Linked DNA regions of Drosophila melanogaster. The protein of the gene in region 2 interacts with the protein of the main gene of each other region in a pairwise test. Each region holds a gene or a part of one and is shown on either strand. Other genes may lie near its edges. The genes, in order: slgA and eEF1beta.

Region 1 (10,975 bases), on a different chromosome or scaffold from region 2:
GATCCCTCATCCGCCCAGGTTCTTTCAATTTTTCAGCGCCTGAATCGCACATAAATCATTTGGAACTTGGCCAAGTGGTAAAATAAAAAACGTGAACGGAGTCAAGGCCAAAATCTTTGCCAAAGTCCAACAAAACAGCGTGGAAAAATGCGACAAAAAGTGCGGAGGCGGCAATGTGTATTACTCTTCAGAGGCTGCACGTCATTTAAACGAGTGTCAGGCTAAATACGCATATAAACATCACCTTTCCAAAATGAGCCTAGTGCTCAAGGAAAGACGATCCGCCGCGGAACCATCAACTTAAACAGATATCCGCTGAACATATGTACATATATAAGTGATGCGAATATTGAAATTTTAGTGTAAGAAAAACAAACAAACACTTCCTGAAAAGCCGAAAAATAACGCAAGAGATTGTACAGACTCTTATCCAAACCTATTAATGCAAGATTTATGCGACTAGAGACAATACTATCCCTTCGGAAATATTAATTTATTTAAATAAACTCGCAATGCACTATCCAGCTTTGTGAAAACGAGAAAATGTTAAACTGCACTTAATAAAACTCGGCAATAAGGACAGGAAGAGATCGCCTAACTTGGGAATCACCAAGTTTCCGGTTTCCGGGCAACCCATGTTCCTTACAAGGTGGAAAACACAAGAGCATTGGCCTCTGATTAATGATTCCCTTGCACGTGTGCGCTTTGCTTGATGCGGGATCCATCAGATGAATGAGATTCTGAGAAAGGACAGGTGGGGAAAGAAAAGAGCATTCTCCGTCTGGGGAAACCGGTTTCGTCGAGAACACTAAAGTAATTAATTGAATACAAAGTTGTCGAAAGAGCACACTGCCGACAATATAAATACACCATCACCAAAACTGGTTACATAAAACAAATTTTCGTTTCGCATTATATTTTTTTTGGGTATGGCATGTTTTGCTTTGCTAGTCTTTTAACTTTTCTTTGGCAGACAATTCGAAACCGAGGACAGGTGTTTGCCGTTGAGCTCTGGCCCCAAAAAACAAAAAAAACAAAAAAAGCTGCCCCAGCAGAGCCAACACCACCCCCGGTCACCTAGCACCTGGCACCTGCCACAGTACCCCATCCTCAACCATGTTTTTTACCCATCAATACCCAACCCATTCTCACATATCACGAGACCCACACCGCTCCTCAGTCCCCAAAAGCAATCGACGCGCTACTGTAAATAGAAATGGCGAAAAAATAAGTACACTCTGATACAAATTCAAACGAATATGAGACCCCAATTGTGTTATTGAACTGTGTGCAACAGTTCTTGAGAATGTTCTCACTATATTTAGTACCAAAAGTATAACTAATTGAATGCTAGAACGCTCAAAATCGATTGTGCAAACGATGTTTTCAAATAGATTGCGCCGAGTCTGGTAAAGGAATGGCTTACCAATTTTTTTCTAGTGCAGAGATGTGGGCAAAGTCGATGTCTGACTAATGCCACATGTGATGTGATGTCTACGGTCCCAGGGAGCTGTGCGGACATTCTCTGTGACGTCCATTTAGCCACCCATATATGCAAATTGCATCGAGCGGGGCGAAAAAATGATAAATAAGTAACAGTCTTGGCGACGCATGCACTTTGAGTAATCGATAAGCAATCAAACGATCGCCGACGCTATTAAATAGAAGCACGCTAGCGAGAATGGGGTAAATGCGAGGGGTTTTCCAACGATTCCGATTGGCGCTCATTCGGGGGCCTGACTATATAACGACCTATATATACTATGCAGTCCTACACAGTTCACACAATCCATACGTCTCGCTGAGTAAATACGCACGAGTTAAGAGCAAATAGCGGACCGGGCAAGGTCGCCATCGCAGCGGCAATTTGCATGCCAAAGTTTCCCTTTTTCCTGCCGTCAATCAGGCACTCATTCAATCTTCTGTGCGACTGCAGCACCTGCCAGAAAGTGGCAACAAATGCAACAAGCAATTAGCCAGGAATTCATCAACACGAGGGGAGCAAACGAAAACTCGCTGCGGGTCGGGTGAATTGAAAAGCGGAAGCAGGGCGGAAAATCGGAAGGAAAGCAGCCAGCCACCTGACACGGGCTTCGGTTGCCCGGAAAATCGGAATCAAGCGAATGGAAGCTTGGCAGGATCGAAAAAATTCATGAATAAGACAAAAAAATTCATGAATAGAAAAAAGGAAGCAAACAAAAAAATTAAATATTCTTCTACGTTCAGTTTCAGACAACTTTAACATTATACATACATGGAATTCAATAGCCCTAGCTGTTCATAACTTTTGTTTACTCTTCAAGTGTCCAAGAATCCATGTACATGAATATATTTAAATAAAGCATTTTAAAGGAAGTATTTATAAAATAAATGAATGAATTATAATAAGTTGAAAGCAGCAGAAGAGGACAGAAGAGGCGAAGAGTCAGCACACACTTCGAGAGTTGAAACAAATGGTTTCGAAATCGGTCACTATCTAAAACGATACTTACTTAATTGTAATATTAAGAAAGCATTAAGCAGGGGTTATGTACTAACAGAGCCCCAGATTTCTCAGCAAACAGAACCAGAAACAGAGAGCTAGAGAGAGAGAGAGAGATCTCAGCTAGTCGATGGATTGGACCAATTCAAGGGTCAAAGGTCGCAGGACTCGGCAGAGGAGGAGTGGGGGACACCGATTAACTCACCGTCATGTTGTGCTCGACCAGCTTCTCGCTGGAACATATCATGTAGACGAGATAGGCGCGTATTAGCTCTCCAGTGGTCTTGCTCTTGAAAGCAGCAATCGGATCATTAAAGCTCACGTCCAGGGGATCCCTCTGCGGCGAGCCAGCGGGCGAGGGGTTCTTTTCCTGGGACGACTCCTGCTTCATCGATCGCTTCACCGTCTCGCTGGAGACCACCTCCGGTTGGACCAGAGTGGAGGCCTGCAGCGGCCGGTCGCCGCTGTGCAGGAAGCGCGCTCCATTGACTCCTCTCGTGGACTCCGATGCTGCTCCTTCTCCGGCGATGCTGGTGCTCCCGCTGCCGCGCTGATGGAAACTCCGGCAGGCGGCGACGGCCACGGAATTGCTCGACTTGCTGCTATTACGGCCGTAGACCAAACTGATGGCTGTTCGTTGGGCGCTCAGCGAACGGAGTAGAGCCATTACAAGGGATTCTGCGGTTTATTTACGCTTTCTGCTCTTCGGCTTTTGAGACGGTTATTGAAACGCACTCCAATCTCGGTTGTTGCTGCAAAAAGAAAACAATGGAAAGCAGAGGTAATTTCACTATTATCTCTACAAATCACTACGAATCTGAGGGAAGACAGTGGCGTAACGAAGAGATTACTAAAGGTGGTTATCTCGTTTTCAACTCGATTACAATAACGTTTTAAAAAGTGGAAATGTGGTACATATATAACAAAATTATTACGACTGTTTCAAAATATGCATTGATTTTCAATAAGATCATATAGAATTGATTTAATTGTAATTGGATGATATCTAATTAATATAAAAATAATAAACAAATGTATAATAAAATTCAATTTATAAAAATATTAAAATCAGTGTACATATTATTATTGCAACTTTTTGCCTAATTGTGTTTTTTGCCCCCCCACAAACCCCACGCCAACGCCAATGATCACAGCTGATTTTGTCGGAGAGCTTTTCGCTCTCCCTCTTTCGCTCGCTCCGAATGTTATACAACAAATGCGAAAAACGTGAGGCGGCGAGGGAGAGCGAAGCCGAAAAAAACAGCACAACACAATCACACGTACGCAAGTACACCTTCGAAATGTTCAATTAAAAAAGTCAATTTCTGGGCAGAAATCTATCTTTCGCTATTATGTGTCTTTTGGGTTTTCTTCTTACTTCGTTCTTATTATTTATTCTATTACGCTTTGAGCGTTGTATACGCCGCAAAAGCACGAAACCAAATGCGACGAAGACGCGTGAAAATGGGGCGAGTTGTTAAGCGACGGCAAATTCAACGAAGCGAAACGAGGAAGGACCCGAGGGCGAGAAAATCCTTTTCGCCGCTTCGCTCCCGTTTATGTAACTGTAAATGTAACCGAGATTGTACCGTAATTGTAACTACGACTGTGTGACGTCACAGGCATGCCAGCCCCGTTTGCTTCTGATTTTGATTTTGATTTGGAATTTGTTTTGATTTAATTGAAATGCGCCGAAAGCACACACTAATTGGTGTTAATTGCGGCTCTCCTTGATTCTCCCCAATTTTCGTTCTCAGTTTTCCACCCATTAACCCCTTTTCCCTTTTTCATTTTATTTATTAATTAGCAGCCCGCTAAATAATCGCCAGACGGGAGGCTGCAATCAATCGAAAAAACTTGGCGGGTTTCATTGCACAGATTTCATTACACTTCATTATGGGCTATATCAAGTTCTGTCTCGCTCTGGCCGCCTTGGTTAAAGGGAAACAGGGAGCTGCCGTACTTAAATTGCGAATTCATCTGAATGGTTTTTTTTTTTTTGTTTTTTTTTCTTCATTTTTCTTATTTGTTGCTATGCGGCGAATTGTACCTATTATATAACACTGCTTACTGCTCTCTACCTCGCTTTGTAGAGATCCTTTTATGATACGAATACAACGCAGCCACTCACATGTACACTGCAAAATTTCGCTTGGGTTTGTGGGTTTCCTCTATTTGCTCGATATAAATTTTGCTTTAACGGTTGTTTTGTCACTTCAAAAAAAACAAACTACGATACATAACCAGCAACGACCCAAAAACAATAATAAGGGTAAACAATACAATTTTGTAGAATTTGTAGAATTGCCAAATATAGTTTTTCGGAAAAACTCGTGTTTGTTTGACAAACTTCTCACAGCAGCCTGCGAGAAAAGTAGAAAAGTTCCCGTTTCTGTCAGCGCATTTGCTCACCTCACAAAAGACACACAAGTACAAGTACAATTATAATTATTTTTCGGTTTTTTCGAGTCAATGTTGTTCTTTTCGAGGGTTTTTGGTTTTTGCTGCTGCAACAGAGAGCGTGAGCACGCGCAAGGGTCTGAATTCGCGAATAAACTGAAACACATGAAGCGAAATTAAGGCCAACACGGCGAAAGCTCGTCCAAAAAAGCTTGAGAGAAATTGTTGGACCAGTCGGTGAGGGGCAGAAAGGGGATGGGCCACCCCCAGCAGCTGTTTGGGCTGCACGTGAGCGAAAAAAAGAAACCCGATCGAAAATTAATCGCCATCTTGTCAACTCTTATTACCCAATAAAAATCGGCACGCTTATCTAGGCCCCTGGCGGTTGGCCGGGAATCTTCGGTGCTCTTATCTTATCAATGGACTCCCACACCAGCGTCCAACAAAAACGAACCATTCCTTCTATTCATCTCTCTCCCTGTCTCTTTCTTGACAACCGGCGTCTTGCAACACTGGCCTCGCAAACAGGCTTGCTTTACACCCAGATCACTGGAGAAATATATCGATACGAAATATACGCTCGCAAAATTTGAAATTTAGTTTCAGGTACGAAAATTATTCAAAATGTTTCTCTGTGTAAAGAACGCTTATCGTGGACTCAAGAAAGTATCAAACAGATTTATTTTAATTGCACTATTTACGCAAATATAAGGCCACCAAATGAATATAAGTTTTCTAAATCTTTCTAATCGGACCCTCCCAAGCCAAATATTTCCTTTTGCTGTGTGCCGAAAGAAGGGATTTTAGAAAAGTTTGAATTATTGTTAGTTACAAAATTGAGTATCCGAACTATTTGTTACTTTCAGCTCGCAATATAAATATAATATAAATATCGATAGTTATCGCCGTCTCACAAATCTACACACCAGCGATCTCTAAAAATGTCCTTTGGGTTTGTTTTAAGCGATTTTTTCGGTTACAAATTTCAAACATATTACTTCGTATAAAATCTTTTAAACTGATTAAAATTAAAAACAAAGCGATTCGGCTTGTGACACTAACAAAAAAAAACCTTTTACGTCTCAATTTACTTTACTTTAAAATTGTTTATAGAAAAAAGGTAAGAAAGTTAAGAAACATTTATGGCATCAAAGAAATCATGTTAACGTAAAAAAAAACTACAAGAACTATATGCACTCCATATTTTTTAATATACACAATGTATGCGTACATAGATACCAAATTGTTCCCGTATACTGATTACTTACTGGCGTTTCATAGATAAATATTGCAAAATTGGCTCTTCAAAATGAAAATTCCAAGTTTCCATTTTAAAATGAATATATTTTTGTTTGCAAATTGTTTGCGTTTCGACAAATATAGCAATAAGTTACGACTACATATTAGAAATAATAATAATTAACATTTAATGAGCGACCGCTGCTGTTGATTTTGCTGCTTAGCGAACGCGGCCCGAAAAAGGAGAAACTTAACAAGAAAAAAACAGAACAAGTTATTTAAATACCAAATATATACATAGATATATGCGTGTGAAACTGACTCGGGTCTCCTCCTACCGCCGTCATAACAAACAATACATAATTCGCTATCGCCGCGACTCTCTTCTCGCATTCTCTTCGGCTGGCTTGATTTTCTGTTATTACATAATATTATTGACTAAATTGTAGATCAACGAATGTCTGTTTTTCCATCTCCATTGGGCACCACCAGCAAATAGCTTTAAGCATCGTAAGTATCGAAAATGGGTGCTTAACTTGACCGCAAGACTATCATAAGGGCGACAAATTCAGTTTAAGGTTTTCGATTGATGCGACAATGTTAAAACAATTGAATATTAATGCACAGTTGTGCGGATATGAACTGAATATTTTGGATATGTGTGCAACATAGCCCGAAAAACATGTAAAACCTATCTATATATGTATGTAAATAAAATATAAAGTATTATTCCTCAGCTCTGACGTAATGAATGATGATATGAATAACTGCTAAGGACATGCTCTTTTGCTTTCCTAAAAACTATATAATAAGGTAAACAGGGAATAGTTTAAATATCTAAACATAATTTCAAATTATTGCAACAGGATATACATATGTGAATATGTCTTCCCCAAGTATGACAATCTTGCAGTTCGCTATTTTGATTTGGGCTAACTATTTGGTGGTAATGCTGGACAGCCAGTGGTGCTGCTGATGTTATTGGTGTTGCAGGCGCTAGTTGGACTTGGTCAGCTCAGTGCGGTTGGCGGCCACTTCGGCCAGAATGAGTAGATCTGAGGTAGAGGAGGTCACGTCGAAGGCCGCCTGCGAGGAGAGCGAGGAGGATGACGACGAGGAGTTCGAAGAGAGCGGTGGCGAGGCCGACGACGAGGTTACAGGGGCATTCACCGCCTTGGGAGCACCGCTCTGGTTAAAGTAGTAGCTGCCATTGATGGTCAGGGGCAGAATTGAGGCCACCTCCTGTTCAATGGCACTAACATCGCGCCGGGTGATACTTTCCTTGCGCGCCTTTCGTCGCTGGCTTCCCACAGCCTGCAGTTGCTGCTGCTTGATCCTCACGTGTTGCTCGCTAGATAATGGGACAGCACCTTTCGCCGCAGCATCTGCTGCTGCCACATTCGAAGTTGCTGATGCACCACTTGTGCTGTTCGAATTCCTCTGTTTCTTGGTGCCGCTAAACTTCTTCTTCTTTTTGGTGCTACGTTTGCGCTGCAGGTAAGCGTCCAAGCTGAGGGCTGGCAGCTCTTTGATTTTCTCCTCGAGATCAAAGAAACCACTGCTGCTTGACTCGGAAACGCTTCTTATATGTTTTTGCATGGAATCCGGACTGCTACCCTGACGTTCCGGTGGCGAAACGGGCGGTGTATTGGGTCCCGCATCCAAGGGGATGTCCACAAAGTTTCCACCCATGTTACCTGCCGGCGGCAAGCGAGCTTTGCTCTTCTTAGCTATGGCCGCCAATTGACCGGAATTGACCAATTCCTGGTAAATCTTGCCCTTGCAGGAGCGTGATGACTTGACCTTCTTGTTTGGCGAGCTACCACTGGCCGCCTCCTCCTCGCTGGAGTTGCTCGAGTTGTTGTCCTGCAAGGAGCGCTTATTGCCATTCCCATTTGTATTGCCAGCTGGCATATGGGCAGATAGAAACTGGCTGGTCTCGCTGAGCACCTGCTGTAGGGCGAAGTCCTTTTCTTGTACTTGAACTTGCAGTAGGGAGCTTAGCTCGCCCATCTGCGTTTCGTCTGCCAGTTTAAAGTAGTTGGGGCGCAGCATAGCACGCGGCATCTCCCCTCGCTCTGCCCACTGCACTTGCAGTGAAGTCGGCACCTGCTGCTGTGGCTGATCTTCACTGGGTATGAGCAAGCCAGCAGACGCGTTGCTGGGACGGGTAGCTAGCGTTCGCAGCGGCGGAGCTGGCAGTTTGTACCACTTGAAGTTTGGATTAGCATTGAAGAAGGCGTCCTTGTTCTACAAAAGAAAATTAATTAGCTTGCTAAACTTATAGAACTCAAAGCCCAGCAGGCATGTTCAGCAGAAGTGAAGTATGTGCACGGGTAAATATTGTATGATCCCCACCTGCTGTGCCAGATCCGTGAAGCAGTGTTTCTCCTGCTCGTCGAGAGCGGCCCACCAGTCGCCAAGTATCTTTGTAATGGCACTAAAAGAGGTAAACAACGAGTGAGTAATCTTTCCGGAACCTAAATGGGTGCAGCTGGAAAAAAACCCACCGGTTCTCCAAAGTTTTGTAACGCTCCTTGACGATACCGCGATGTCTCTTGCAGAATATGAGGAAGGCATTCATGGGTCGGCGGGCATGATGCTCCGGCCGTGTGTTATCCGCTGTCTCATCCTGCTGAAGCTGTCGCGGCTCTACTTGATGGCTATACTGATCCTGCTCCTGCTGCGGCACTGTGACCACGTCCACGTCCACATGCTCTTCGGCGGCCTCGCGACGAATGCGCGTGACCTCCTGCTGCACAGGCAACTGCACTTGGATCTCCGCCTCCTCCTCATCATCCTCCTCTTCATCGAGATCTTCCTCTTCGTCGTCCTCGTCGTCAGTGTCGCTGCTGCAGTCCTGCAACTTGGCATAGTTGTGCACATCCTCGATGCGCCGAAAGGCATTTTCTTGGTCTTCGGTGCGCTGCGGCTGGGGGTCACCTAAGGCACTTTTGGCAACTTTACCAGGCGATCCTTGTGATTCACCTTCTCTGACTAATGTTTTAGCTTCTGCTTCTCCTGCGCTCGATGGTTTGTCTTTGGTCCTGGATATGGGGAGCCAGCGGAGTTCGCTTGCTCCCATTTGGGATACCATCTTTGCAGCAGCTGTCAGGAATTCTCCTGATCTTTGGGAAAGTTCTCTGGATATCAAAAAGTCCCTGGACAAGCCCGAAACGTAAGATGCCGCTGCCGGAGAATATCCCTCAAGGCTTCTTGCTCCTTGGTTGCCGCTCGTTGTGGCGATTACTCCACTTGCTCCCGGTATCTTCTCAACTATTTTCAGCGCTCTGCCTGTGTAGTTCTTGTTGTTCCTCATTTTCGTCTCCGATGTTTTAAGGCCACTGTAGTTGCTGTTGCTGATGTTGCTGCTGCTACTGTTGTTGCTGTTGTTGTTGTAGGCAAAGTGCAATTTAATTGCAGCACCTGTTGGCGTCACCTGCGCCACCTGCTGACCACCGCCAACGCTCAGGCCGTTGATCATGTTCTTAGCTTTCGTTTTCCACCTACTTGTCTAGTCCCGATCCTCAAACATATTACGCTGCAAGTATGGAAAAATGTCACTGTTTTTTAGTGGGTAAATTTCACAAATGCAAGAAAATGGCGCTGCCAGTGTGTCTGGAAAATAAAAAAAAACTAATTGGCAGCTCTGGTTTTTGCGATATTGAGTTGTTTACAAATTTCCAGTGCGAGAGCAAGACAGATCAGCTGTGCGTGTGTGTTTGTGCGTGCTGTGGCGCCTGTTCGGATAGCTCTTTCTCTTTTTTTCTCAAGCAAAACTTCGTTAAACAAAAATAAATCGCACACAAATAAAGCTATATTTTTTTTCATTATTATGAAATTCACGTCAATCCATACATACAAGTAAGGCAAAAATATCACAGTCTATCAAACAAAAGCATAAAAATAATTGCAAAATAAATAAACAAAGAAACAGCTAAGGGAATGCACTCAAAAAGAGTTACGGCTACTTATTGACTTTCAATACTTTTCAACACTACTTGTGAAGGTTAACAACGGGAAAAATTTTATTATGGTCAATTTGATGAGCCTATTATGATTAAGAACCTTATAAATGCATACGCTTCCTGCACCTTGTCCAATTGAAAAAGTTGAAAAGCTTGAGTTTCGTTGACAAAAAAAGGTTGTATTGAAATACACAAAAATTCACCCGCTTTCTTTATTAACAACGAACATTATCAGTGCTTTTTGTGCATAAGATACATACTATCAATACTGCCTGCAAAATTTAATAACAGTTTTAATTATCGATAAATACTTGTTTTTTGTACTGCTATTGCACAATTATGTGACAAACTAAACACACAAATAAAGAAATGAAAAAAGGAAAACAAAAAAAAAAAACAAAAAACAGGCTACGTGTACAGCTGAGCATTAGCTCGCATGTGCGAGTGTGTGCGAGCGGGAGAGCGCTCGAGAAGTGCGTTAGCTTCTCTCTTTTTCGCAAAGTTCGCTTTGAACTTGATTAAACGAATTGTTGTTGCTGTTTTGTTCTTGTTTTTTTTTTTTGTTATTCTACTTATTTGTTTGTGCGAGCAACGCACTGCCTTTGTTTTGTATTGTGGACATTTTTGGATGGAAAGAGAGGGAAGAGGATCGCGGTAGCAGGGTTGCCACCTGGCAAAGTAAAGTGCAGCTGTCAGCTGTTGGTTACCGTTGGCCATCTCTATCCATCTCATTCACTCTAACACACACAGATGCACACGGTCAAGGCCAAGTTTTAAATGGAGCGGTCGGCTGTGAATGGTGGGGGAGGGACGGGTCTGTTCATAACCTTCAAACGTTTAGTTCTAGTTTTTTAGGTTAGGTATTCAACTGCCTCTGAAATGCAAT
Region 2 (9,367 bases):
CAAGGAGGAGAAGAAGCGGGGCAAGAAGGAGGCCAAGGAGCTGCTGTTGGCCAACGATGGGAACAGCAAGAAGTGAGGGAAGGGCACCCAATTAGCCAGCAAAAACGCATATTTCCAGTTGCAATTCTAGCCATGTAAGATCATCACCAAGTACCCGTGTAACCGTACTATATCAAGCCAGATAGGATCGGATGGAATCAGACCTCCAACTCACACACCTCAACACCCCCTACCCATATGAATCGAGCTTGATTGTAATTTTATGAACGTAATTTGTCAGTTAGGCCTCAATCATTTCCATGATTTTTTACTCGAAATAGAAAATAGAGAAGCCAAATATTTAAAAATAGTTTCTTAAAAAAAAGAATTCACTGTAGAATCGTGAAATTTAAATCACCTTCATTGTACTTGTGTCTGCATATTTACTTCTTTTGTGGGCGTTTTTGGCATTTAATGCTTTTAATTCAAAAGAAAAACTATGCCAAACATTTGTATTTAAATGATAAACCTTTGGCAAGCACTGATTTTTTCACTAATATTTTGCTTTCATTTCGTTTATAGTCGTAAGCAGAAACTTCCACTTAGTTTTCATTACGTTCACTGCCCACTTTCATAACTCTTCACCGTCTAGAGATATGATAAGAATAGGATGATATTGCTGCCTTTCGTTCGACATTGCCTCAGTCTCAGTCTCAACATGAATCATTACCAATTAAAAAGGTTGTTGAAACAATTTCAATTTGAACAGATTCTGATGAAAATATCCGTAACAGTCCTTTTTACTTTCAAGTTTCCATATACTAGACTACCAAACAGAATACCCCTTAATAGAGAGAACCTCATCTCGAGATATAGAACCATGACCACTGAATGGCAAACCAATGTTAGAGCCAAGCTTTAGCAAACGTAAGCCAGAATCTGAATAAATTAATAACTATGTACTACCAGTATGTTAACATGTTTACAAAAAGCGAGAGCATATTAAAGTAGTTTTCATATACCCCTCTATATATATTATATATATATATCTGTATCTGTAACTAAATCTATAGAATCCATACCTATATTGGAAACTGTTCAAATGCAAACATAAGCAATGTTTCGATGTATGTACGTGTATATGTGTTACCAGGATTGTTTTAAAAACAGACAAATATATCCCCGAAAAGTGGGAAACGATGAAACCCAATAAAGAATCAATTATGTTGAAACCGTTTCCTGCTCCTTGATGATCTTTTCCTCTGCCATCCGCTCCTTGGATTTCAGACATCGATTGAAGACTTTGGCAAAGATGTAGGGCAACTCTTCCTGGCACTTCAGATTGCCCAGTTTGTGGAGTGCTCCGAAATCCAGGCAATCGATGTGCTCGTCTCCATTGCAATCCTGGCCATGTTTGAACATATAATTCTGCACCGTGTTCGCTGCACAGTGGGGCTGATTAACGCAGTTCGTAAAAGCTGAGAAAAGGACTGGGGAATTGAAATGGATCTATTACTTGGATATCCTGAACATACCGTCTTCGGAGAGAGCTGTATCTGTGGGCAAAGTTAGTTTGCCCGCCTCCACCCAGTAGCCCCAAGTGATTCGGAATATACCGCAGGCCCCATTTACGCAAATTGCGGATGCATTGCAGCCACTCATTGTTTCGCATAGACAGTCTAGGCAATCTTCCGTGACGGGTTTGTTTTGCACTAAATACACAGAAAGAAATACTAATCAATACATACTTATTTCATCAAAAAAAAAAAGAAAGAAGATAATTTTTGTATAAATGTGATTTTTCTTAAGAAGACTTTTTAAATATCAAAAAAGCATTATATTATGGAGCTAATGAATAAATTATATTCAGTGTACGAGAAAAGTGGAAATGGGCGGATGTTACAGCCGGCTTTATAGTATAAAGCTATTCCTATAAACTGGCTTTATTTTACAGCGAACCCAGATGGATTACCATAATTATAGAGCACCACGTCAACTACGTAACACAGTGGTTATAAGGTACTATCGCTACGGAATTGATGGCTTGTGTAGCTGGGTAGCACTTACCCTCATAGCTGGAACCACTGTACACCAGTAGCCACAAACAAACTAGCAATCGTAGCATAACTGAGCTTTGAATCCGATCGAGAATCGAGAACCCGACCTGCAAGTGCCGTGTTGACCAAACAACTGATCTCAGTTGACTCCAAGCCACTAGTTTATTAATCGAAATTAACGCCTATATTAGCTATGAGTTATTTGCACATAAATTAAACGGACTCTTCCTCATAAGTTAGTTGCTAAATACTAGAAAAAGTTGCATTAGGCCTAGCTGGAATTCTGACGCTTGTCATTCCGCATCGCGTTCCTCAAACATCGTTTGAAAATGCTCTCGTAGGTGTAGGGCATATCCGCCTTGCAGTTGAAGGGACCCATATAGTGAATGGCACCATAATCGTAACAGTCCTCCTTCTGATCATCGTTGCAATCCTGTCCGTACTTCACCATATAACTCTGCAAAGTATCGGCCGCACAATACGGATCATTGGCGCAGTTGGTAAAAGCTGAGTATATTGTAAATTCAAAGGTAAGTAAGTAAATGCACTAAATTGACAGATAAACGCAGTTCTTACAACTATCCGTCAATGGCGAGTCGCCAGGTATGGTCAATCTGCCTGAGTCCACCCACTGATCCCAAGTGATCCTGAAAATGCCACATGCCCCATTCACGCACACAGCCGTCGCGTTGCAGCCACTCAAAGCCTCACACATACAGATCAGGCATTGTTCCGTGATGGGTTTTTGGACCTCGGCTTGAACCCAAATGCCAACGAATGTGAGCCCGAGTACGAAAAATAATATATGTGCACTATGCATAGCTCGAGATGTGTATTCACTTCCGATTCGATGCCTTTCGCGATTGTTCAGCCACTGAAACGATTTCAGCAGTGACTACTGGTTTTTATTATCGAAAATGAGCGCCATCGAAGGTGACTAATTTCAGTTATAGGAAATGCACCGATCTGGTTTCCAATCAGCGGTGATTCCCGGGTAAATAAAAATATTAAGTTTATTAACATATATATATAATGTTTATTTTTTATTTACTCAAATCCCTCATCCTCGTACCTCTCGATGCACTCCTCGAACACACTCTGGAAATTGTAGGGCATGTCCGCTTGGCAGCCATAAGCCCCCAGTTTATGGATTCGAGCATAATCGTGGCAATCCATCTCACCATCATCATTGCAATCCTGATTGAACTTCTTCATATAGTTTTGCACCAAATCGGCGGCACAGTGCGGATCCTTGGCGCAGTTGATGAAAGCCTTTTCCGAATCGGGATGCTCTCCATTTACCGTCAGTTTGCCAGCATCCACCCAGTATCCCCAGGTGATGCGGAATATGCCGCATGCTCCCTTTTCCGCACTGGTGCAAATCGCCGTGGCATTGCAACCACTAATGGCCTCACAAATGCAGGTGAGACACAGCTCCGTTACCGGCTTATCCAGCACATGACCTGTTTACGCAATTTATTGTACATATAGCACATATATTTTTGGCGGAAAAAACGTACCTTGGCCTTGAACCAATGAAGGCGACAGCACCAGCAGCAAATATATGGAATATAGCAGGAAAACTCGCATTTTCCGGCTGGTTAAAGTAATAACATCCAATTCCTCTGCCCCTGAAACTGCGAATGGTTCTAGCGATTCCCATGAACTGAGTACTCAGTACCCGGTAAATGCGCCAATCTAGCGGGTAATACCGGTTTATAGGGCGCATCCACACAAAGTGTTAAGAATAGTTCTACTACATACCCCCACTCACTGACTCCCAGTTGAAACTTACAACAAAAAGTATGCTACACTGCGACTCCTAAATATTTTAAAGCGTGTGTTAAAGACTAGTTTAATTTTACTGTATTTCAAGCCAAGATGTAGAGAATATGTATGTAAGCAAGGAATGTAAAATGTTTTTTACACGAATAACCCTAACAAATAAGTAAAATTCATTACAATAATTATTTTTTTTGTCCATTCGAAATAATTTACTAAATTTATGAAACAAGTGTGAAGCACTGAAAAGTTAAAAATATTTGCTTGTATTGTCATTTATTCTGAATCGAATTCAAATGCATTGCCATAAATAATTAATTATTACATTATTTAAATTTAATTACAATATAAATTTAGCAAGTTAATGTGTTTATATGCTAGAGCGCACGTCGATCTGCTGGAACGAATTAAGGCAGTTGGTCAGCTGCGTCTGGTACTGGTAGCTCAGCTCGCCCTTGCATCCATAGCCGCCCAGCTTGTGGATGGCAGCAAAGTCGTAGCAATCGATGGCGTTGTCTCCATTGCAGTCCTGGCCGAACTTGGTCATGTAATTCTGGATCGTGTTGGCCGCGCAGTAGGGATCGTTCACGCAATTGGCATACGCTGCAGCGAGATTAATGTGCATCAGATGTATGATAAGGTTTATTGCATAGGTAATGGATGGGACACTCACCATCCTCCGACTGGGGACTCTCGTTGCCCAAGGTCAGCTTGCCGCCGTCGGCCCAATATGCCCAGGTGATGCGAAACAGGCCGCAGACTCCGCCGCCGCAGTAACGTGTCTGGTTGCATCCACTGATGGCCTCGCAGATGCATCCCAGGCACACATCAGTCACCGGCTTATCTGTTTCGGGTTTAAAGATCATTCAAATCAAATCAAATCAGTTCAGTTCATTTTTATTTTTATTTTATTTTCCAGATTAGCCTCAAAAGAGCGTTAGCAGTGCAGATTTGCCCAGATCATGTCATCGCTTTATTCAGAGCATTTGGTAATGTTTTGAATTTTTAAGAGTTATAACAAGTTGAAGACTTTGAAATTTTAGCAGCTCACAGAAAAAAGTAGTAGGAAACTAATTAAACAAAAAATCCAGTTGACCAATTTGGTTTAGGTGTCTTATCTTGAACTTGTTAAAAATTCTTTTAAAATTTCTTACGTTCATTATTATAAATTCCAACCGAAGAGATTTCCGTGTAAAATAACAACAGGTACTACAATAAAACTAATCCTAGTGTGTTATCTGTGTTTCCCCGGTGCGAGCGGGTTCATAAATTTCAAAAATTCAATAAAATTATAAAATATATCCAAGAAACGAAAAGCAATTCCGTTGCTTGCACGCCCATGAACCTGAAATCCATCGGCCTCACGTTCCCATCCCATTTTGTATCGAACTAGTTTTGCAACTTTCAATGGAAACATTGAAGCATCTCCGTAGAACAAAATCTGGCAGCGCGTAGGCGAGGATGAGTCAATTAATCGGCGTTATCAAGACCTTGTTCTTGTAATTAAATTTTGTATTTTTAACGAGTATCGGCATTTTGCCAATTTTGCGAAAAGATCGAAAGAAGCGTGAAGCACAGCATGTCATCTAGCCTTCTGGCTCACCCACACACACGAGCAAAACTCTGAGGTTTCTGAGTTCAGTGACCTATGCAAAGTAATCTTCAAAGGCATAAAAATTGGGTCAAGATTAAAGACCTTTTATATATTTCCACCTTTCTAAAACATATCATATCAGTGCATATTTTAGTTTATATAAACACCTTTTCACGGGGTTTTCCTGACCCAGAGATAACCCACACGCAGCAAATTGTCACGAAAGTGGGATTTTTTGAGGTCTAACAATGGAGTACCGATGTGCACCGCAAAATACTGTTCCGGATTCGGGGAAATCTCCAGTAAAACTACATCCTTTTCGCGAATAATGCAAAAATAACGACTGATTGATTTCTGCTAATTACCCATTTAGACAATTAATTTATTAAACAGAGAAGCAAAGAGTTCACTTCAAATTACTGCCAACGATTAATAGATGATTTTCAAACTTAATACCAATTAATTTCCGCCAATGTAATAGATGTATACTAATCGGAAGTAATTTCAATGGCAATGATGCGTTATTGAAAACTAACGATGTCAACGGCCCGTGTTTTAGATGATGGATGGTCGATTATGGAATCTGAAACCGATCAGAAATCCCCGAGTTTAAATGGACGTTTGTCAACCTCCAGATACTTGTCGTATGCAAATGGCGACAAACACGATGGATGGATAAATATATCTGGGAAATCCGCTCAAGAACGAAACATGTCTTGGCGCAGAACAAAAGACTCAAATATCTATACAATTGCTAATTAATGTTAATGAATGCAGACGATCAGGTATTTGTATATTTCGTGTTAAAAGCAAATCTCAGCAAATGCGTAACAAATACGTCTCGCGAACAATAACAAGAACGGAAATGTTCTCGCCTATATAATGTAAATATATAGTTTTCGATGTATTTAACTCACCCTGAGCTTGAATGAGGGCTGCGAATCCCAGACACAAAAGAGCGCCAATAGCCAAAGTGCAGCACAATTTGTTGGCAGCCATTATAAGCAGTACTTGTGTCCGAAAAATATTTGTTTGCAAATGCAATTTGAAAAGTCACTGAACAGTATCACAACTATCTGTAAACAACCGACCTCTATCGAGCTGCCCGATCAACTGAGCTGAAAGTGCTACGAGCTTCGCTTTTTTGTTGACAAAAGCTCGCCGAAAGCTTCAAAACGGAAGACTTAAGCTGAGAACTTGAGAGAGCCAGCAAGCCAACTAAAGAGATTAGAGATTTTTACCGATTATAAAAGTATACTTTTTGGTGAAAATTACAAAATTTCAATCATTATTCCAATAAAACTGATGTGTTTTTACAATCTGAATTATGATTGGCTTATTGCAGCTTTCATGTGAAATATTTTATTTAAATATGAAGACAACTATATTTGCTTAGTTCGCTTTGCTCAAGTTTATTGTTAATATAAGAATCTCAGATGTTTAGATCTTGTTGAAGGCAGCAATGTCGACAGACTGAACAAAGTCCTCGAACTCCTCGATCTTCTCCTGCAGCAAATCGATGGACACCTTGTCGTCCTCGATGACGCACATGATCTGCAACTTGTTGATGCCATAGCCGACTGGGACCAGTTTGGAGGCGCCCCACAGCAGACCGTCCATTTCGATGGTGCGGACATTGTTCTCCATCTCCTTCATGTCGGTCTCGTCATCCCAGGGCTTGACATCGAGGAGCACCGACGACTTGGCAATGAGGGCGGGTTTCTTAGACTTCTTGGCGGCGTAAGCGGCAACTCGCTCCTGCTTGATGCGCTCGGCCTCCTCGTCCTCCTCGTCGTCGGATCCGAATAGATCCACATCGTCGTCATCGTCGGCGGCGGGCTTGGCAGCAGCAGCCACTGTGGGCTTTCCACCGGCCAACTGGGGCAGAGGAGTACCCGACCAAGCGGCACGCTCAGCGGCCTCAAAGGAGGCGATGTGGCGGTACCAGCGGGCCACGTTCACATTGTCGGCAGAGGGGGCCTTGCCCAGAGCATCGAACACGGACAGATCGGCCTTGCTGGGAGTATATCTAATGGGAGTATAGTAATGGGTAGAAAATTATTCGATCAATACATCTGCCGACGTGGTGAGGTCGTACATAACCTCACATTTAATGACGCGTGCTTACCCGCTGATGTAGCTGTTGTCGGCCAGGAAGGCGTTCAACTCCTTCAGTCCCTGCGGGGTGGTCACATCACCGAATGCCATTTTAAATGCGTTTTTGTGGGGTAAATTCGCGTTTAACAAATCTGGAGCCGTGCTCTGCGCAACGTTGCCGACGAAAGAAGAACAGAGTGACCTTCGCGGGAAACGGTCTTTAAACATATAATGAAAATACTGACTTTTTCCTAGTATTTCAAGTAGTTGCAACACAGGGTGACCCGGAGTTTGAGTAAATATCGTTCAAATATACCATACATTCAAATAGATTTTTAACGCTTACTTGTATTTTTTTTAATAAAACATAAGGATTATAATTAATACCTTATACTTAAGCTAGCTATTGGCTACGTAAATTTAAGGCCAAACAATTACATTTAATATTCTGAAAAGGAAAAAAATTGTATAGAAATTGTATGCTTCTACTTTGTAACTTGTGAAAACAATATGCATTTCCTTGGGCAAATTCACACAAATTGGGAGCTTGGGCTTAATAGAAATTAAGTTTAAGTAGATCCTTTACTTTCAAATAAATTCATATAAGTCATTGAATATTTAATTTAACACAAATATACCAAAAGCGCGGACTAAAACCGTGAATATCTTATGCGCAGTGTTACCGTTGCAGTGAAAATCATGAGGGTGAAAAAACGCCTCCAATCAAGCTATAATGCTACACAATTTTTTTGCAAACGCATAATTTTCACTGAAAAGCCGAAAGAAAAATTAAAAAAAAAAACGTAGAAGCGCATGAAAAAAACGGCTCAACAATAAGGCAGAGTAGACATTCGAAAGCCACTTAAACAAATGCCATAGGAAGCGTTTATAGTATTTCCTCAGCATTTGTGAAAAAATCGTCGCTTTCGGCTATTGAATTTTCAACGCGTGCGGTCAAACAGAACAAAAAAAAAACAAGTGGTAACCATAAAGAACCGAATTGAACCTATTATAAACCCAGAACTATGAGCGACTTCCAGCAACAAGGCATCAATCAATCGCAGGCACTCGCGCAGGCAATTCAGCGTGCCAAGCAGGTGAGTTCCCACCACTTGGAAGAGGAAGAAGCGGAAGTGGGCATTGATTCGGCTTCTTTTGCCCCAATCCCCAAACCAGATCGCAGCCAAGATCCAGCCCAGCCAGCAGGGCGGCGGCACAGCGGGTCCATCGCCACCGTCTTCGGGTGGAGGGCCTGGCTTTAAGCGTATCAACGACGACGGCGACAGCGGTCCGGAATCCAAACGCTCCTTGGGCAGTCCGGAGTACGCCAACAACAGCTCCAACATGAGCAGCGGTAGCGGGGGTGGTGGTGGCGGCGGCGGAGGTCCCGGCGGTGCCAGTATTACTCAGGCAATCGCCCAGGCTGCTGCGGTAGCCGCTCGTTTGGCCGCCTCGGCGGGAACAAGCTGTGAGGAGCAGATCCGTCTGCCCGAATCGGTAGCCGGCGCCTTTATGGGTCGCTCCAGTAACGACACCATCACCCACATCCAGGCCGAGTCCGGTGTAAAAGTGCAGGTCATGCAGGATCAAGATCGCGTTATCATGTTGCGTGGTCAAAGGGATACAGTCACTAAGGGGCGCGAAATGATTCAGAACATGGCCAATCGGGCTGGCGGGGGACAGGTGGAGGTGCTGTTGACGATCAATATGCCGCCACCGGGACCTAGCGGGTATCCACCTTACCAGGAGATCATGATTCCGGGCGCCAAGGTGGGCTTGGTCATTGGCAAGGGCGGCGATACCATTAAACAGCTGCAGGAGAAGACCGGAGCCAAAATGATCATCATCCAGGACGGAC

What was found.
Region 1: the proteins of eEF1beta (region 2) and slgA interact in a two-hybrid assay, tested with the Drosophila melanogaster proteins (one large-scale study listed by BioGRID).

What each region holds. Positions count from the first base shown.
Region 1 is NC_004354.4:21,368,379-21,379,353, reverse strand, and holds the start of slgA (sluggish A), read right to left. Parts: upstream 5,043-10,975; 5' UTR 4,614-5,042; exon of another isoform or gene 4,533-4,613; intron 3,933-4,532; exon of another isoform or gene 3,861-3,932; intron 3,245-3,860; exon of another isoform or gene 3,235-3,244; 5' UTR 3,150-3,234; coding exon 2,688-3,149; intron 1-2,687. Other genes in the region: bbx (bobby sox), read right to left, coding at 7,118-8,371, 8,480-8,561, 8,632-9,605. UniProt on the Drosophila melanogaster protein: Converts proline to delta-1-pyrroline-5-carboxylate. Involved in the conversion of proline to glutamate, which functions as a transmitter at neuromuscular junctions. Glutamate deficiency could possibly account for reduced motor activity.
Region 2 is NT_033778.4:16,866,565-16,875,931, reverse strand, and holds eEF1beta (eukaryotic translation elongation factor 1 beta), read right to left. Parts: upstream 7,711-9,367; 5' UTR 7,621-7,710; coding exon 7,541-7,620; intron 7,442-7,540; coding exon 6,853-7,441; 3' UTR 6,652-6,852; downstream 1-6,651. Other genes in the region: CG8910 (uncharacterized protein), read left to right, coding at 1-76; CG6435 (uncharacterized protein), read right to left, coding at 1,201-1,457, 1,515-1,691, 2,047-2,104; CG6429 (uncharacterized protein), read right to left, coding at 2,308-2,543, 2,613-2,856; CG6421 (uncharacterized protein), read right to left, coding at 3,084-3,499, 3,557-3,626; CG6426 (uncharacterized protein), read right to left, coding at 4,189-4,421, 4,492-4,662, 6,330-6,411; Psi (P-element somatic inhibitor), read left to right, coding at 8,535-8,606, 8,686-9,367. UniProt on the Drosophila melanogaster protein: EF-1-beta and EF-1-delta stimulate the exchange of GDP bound to EF-1-alpha to GTP.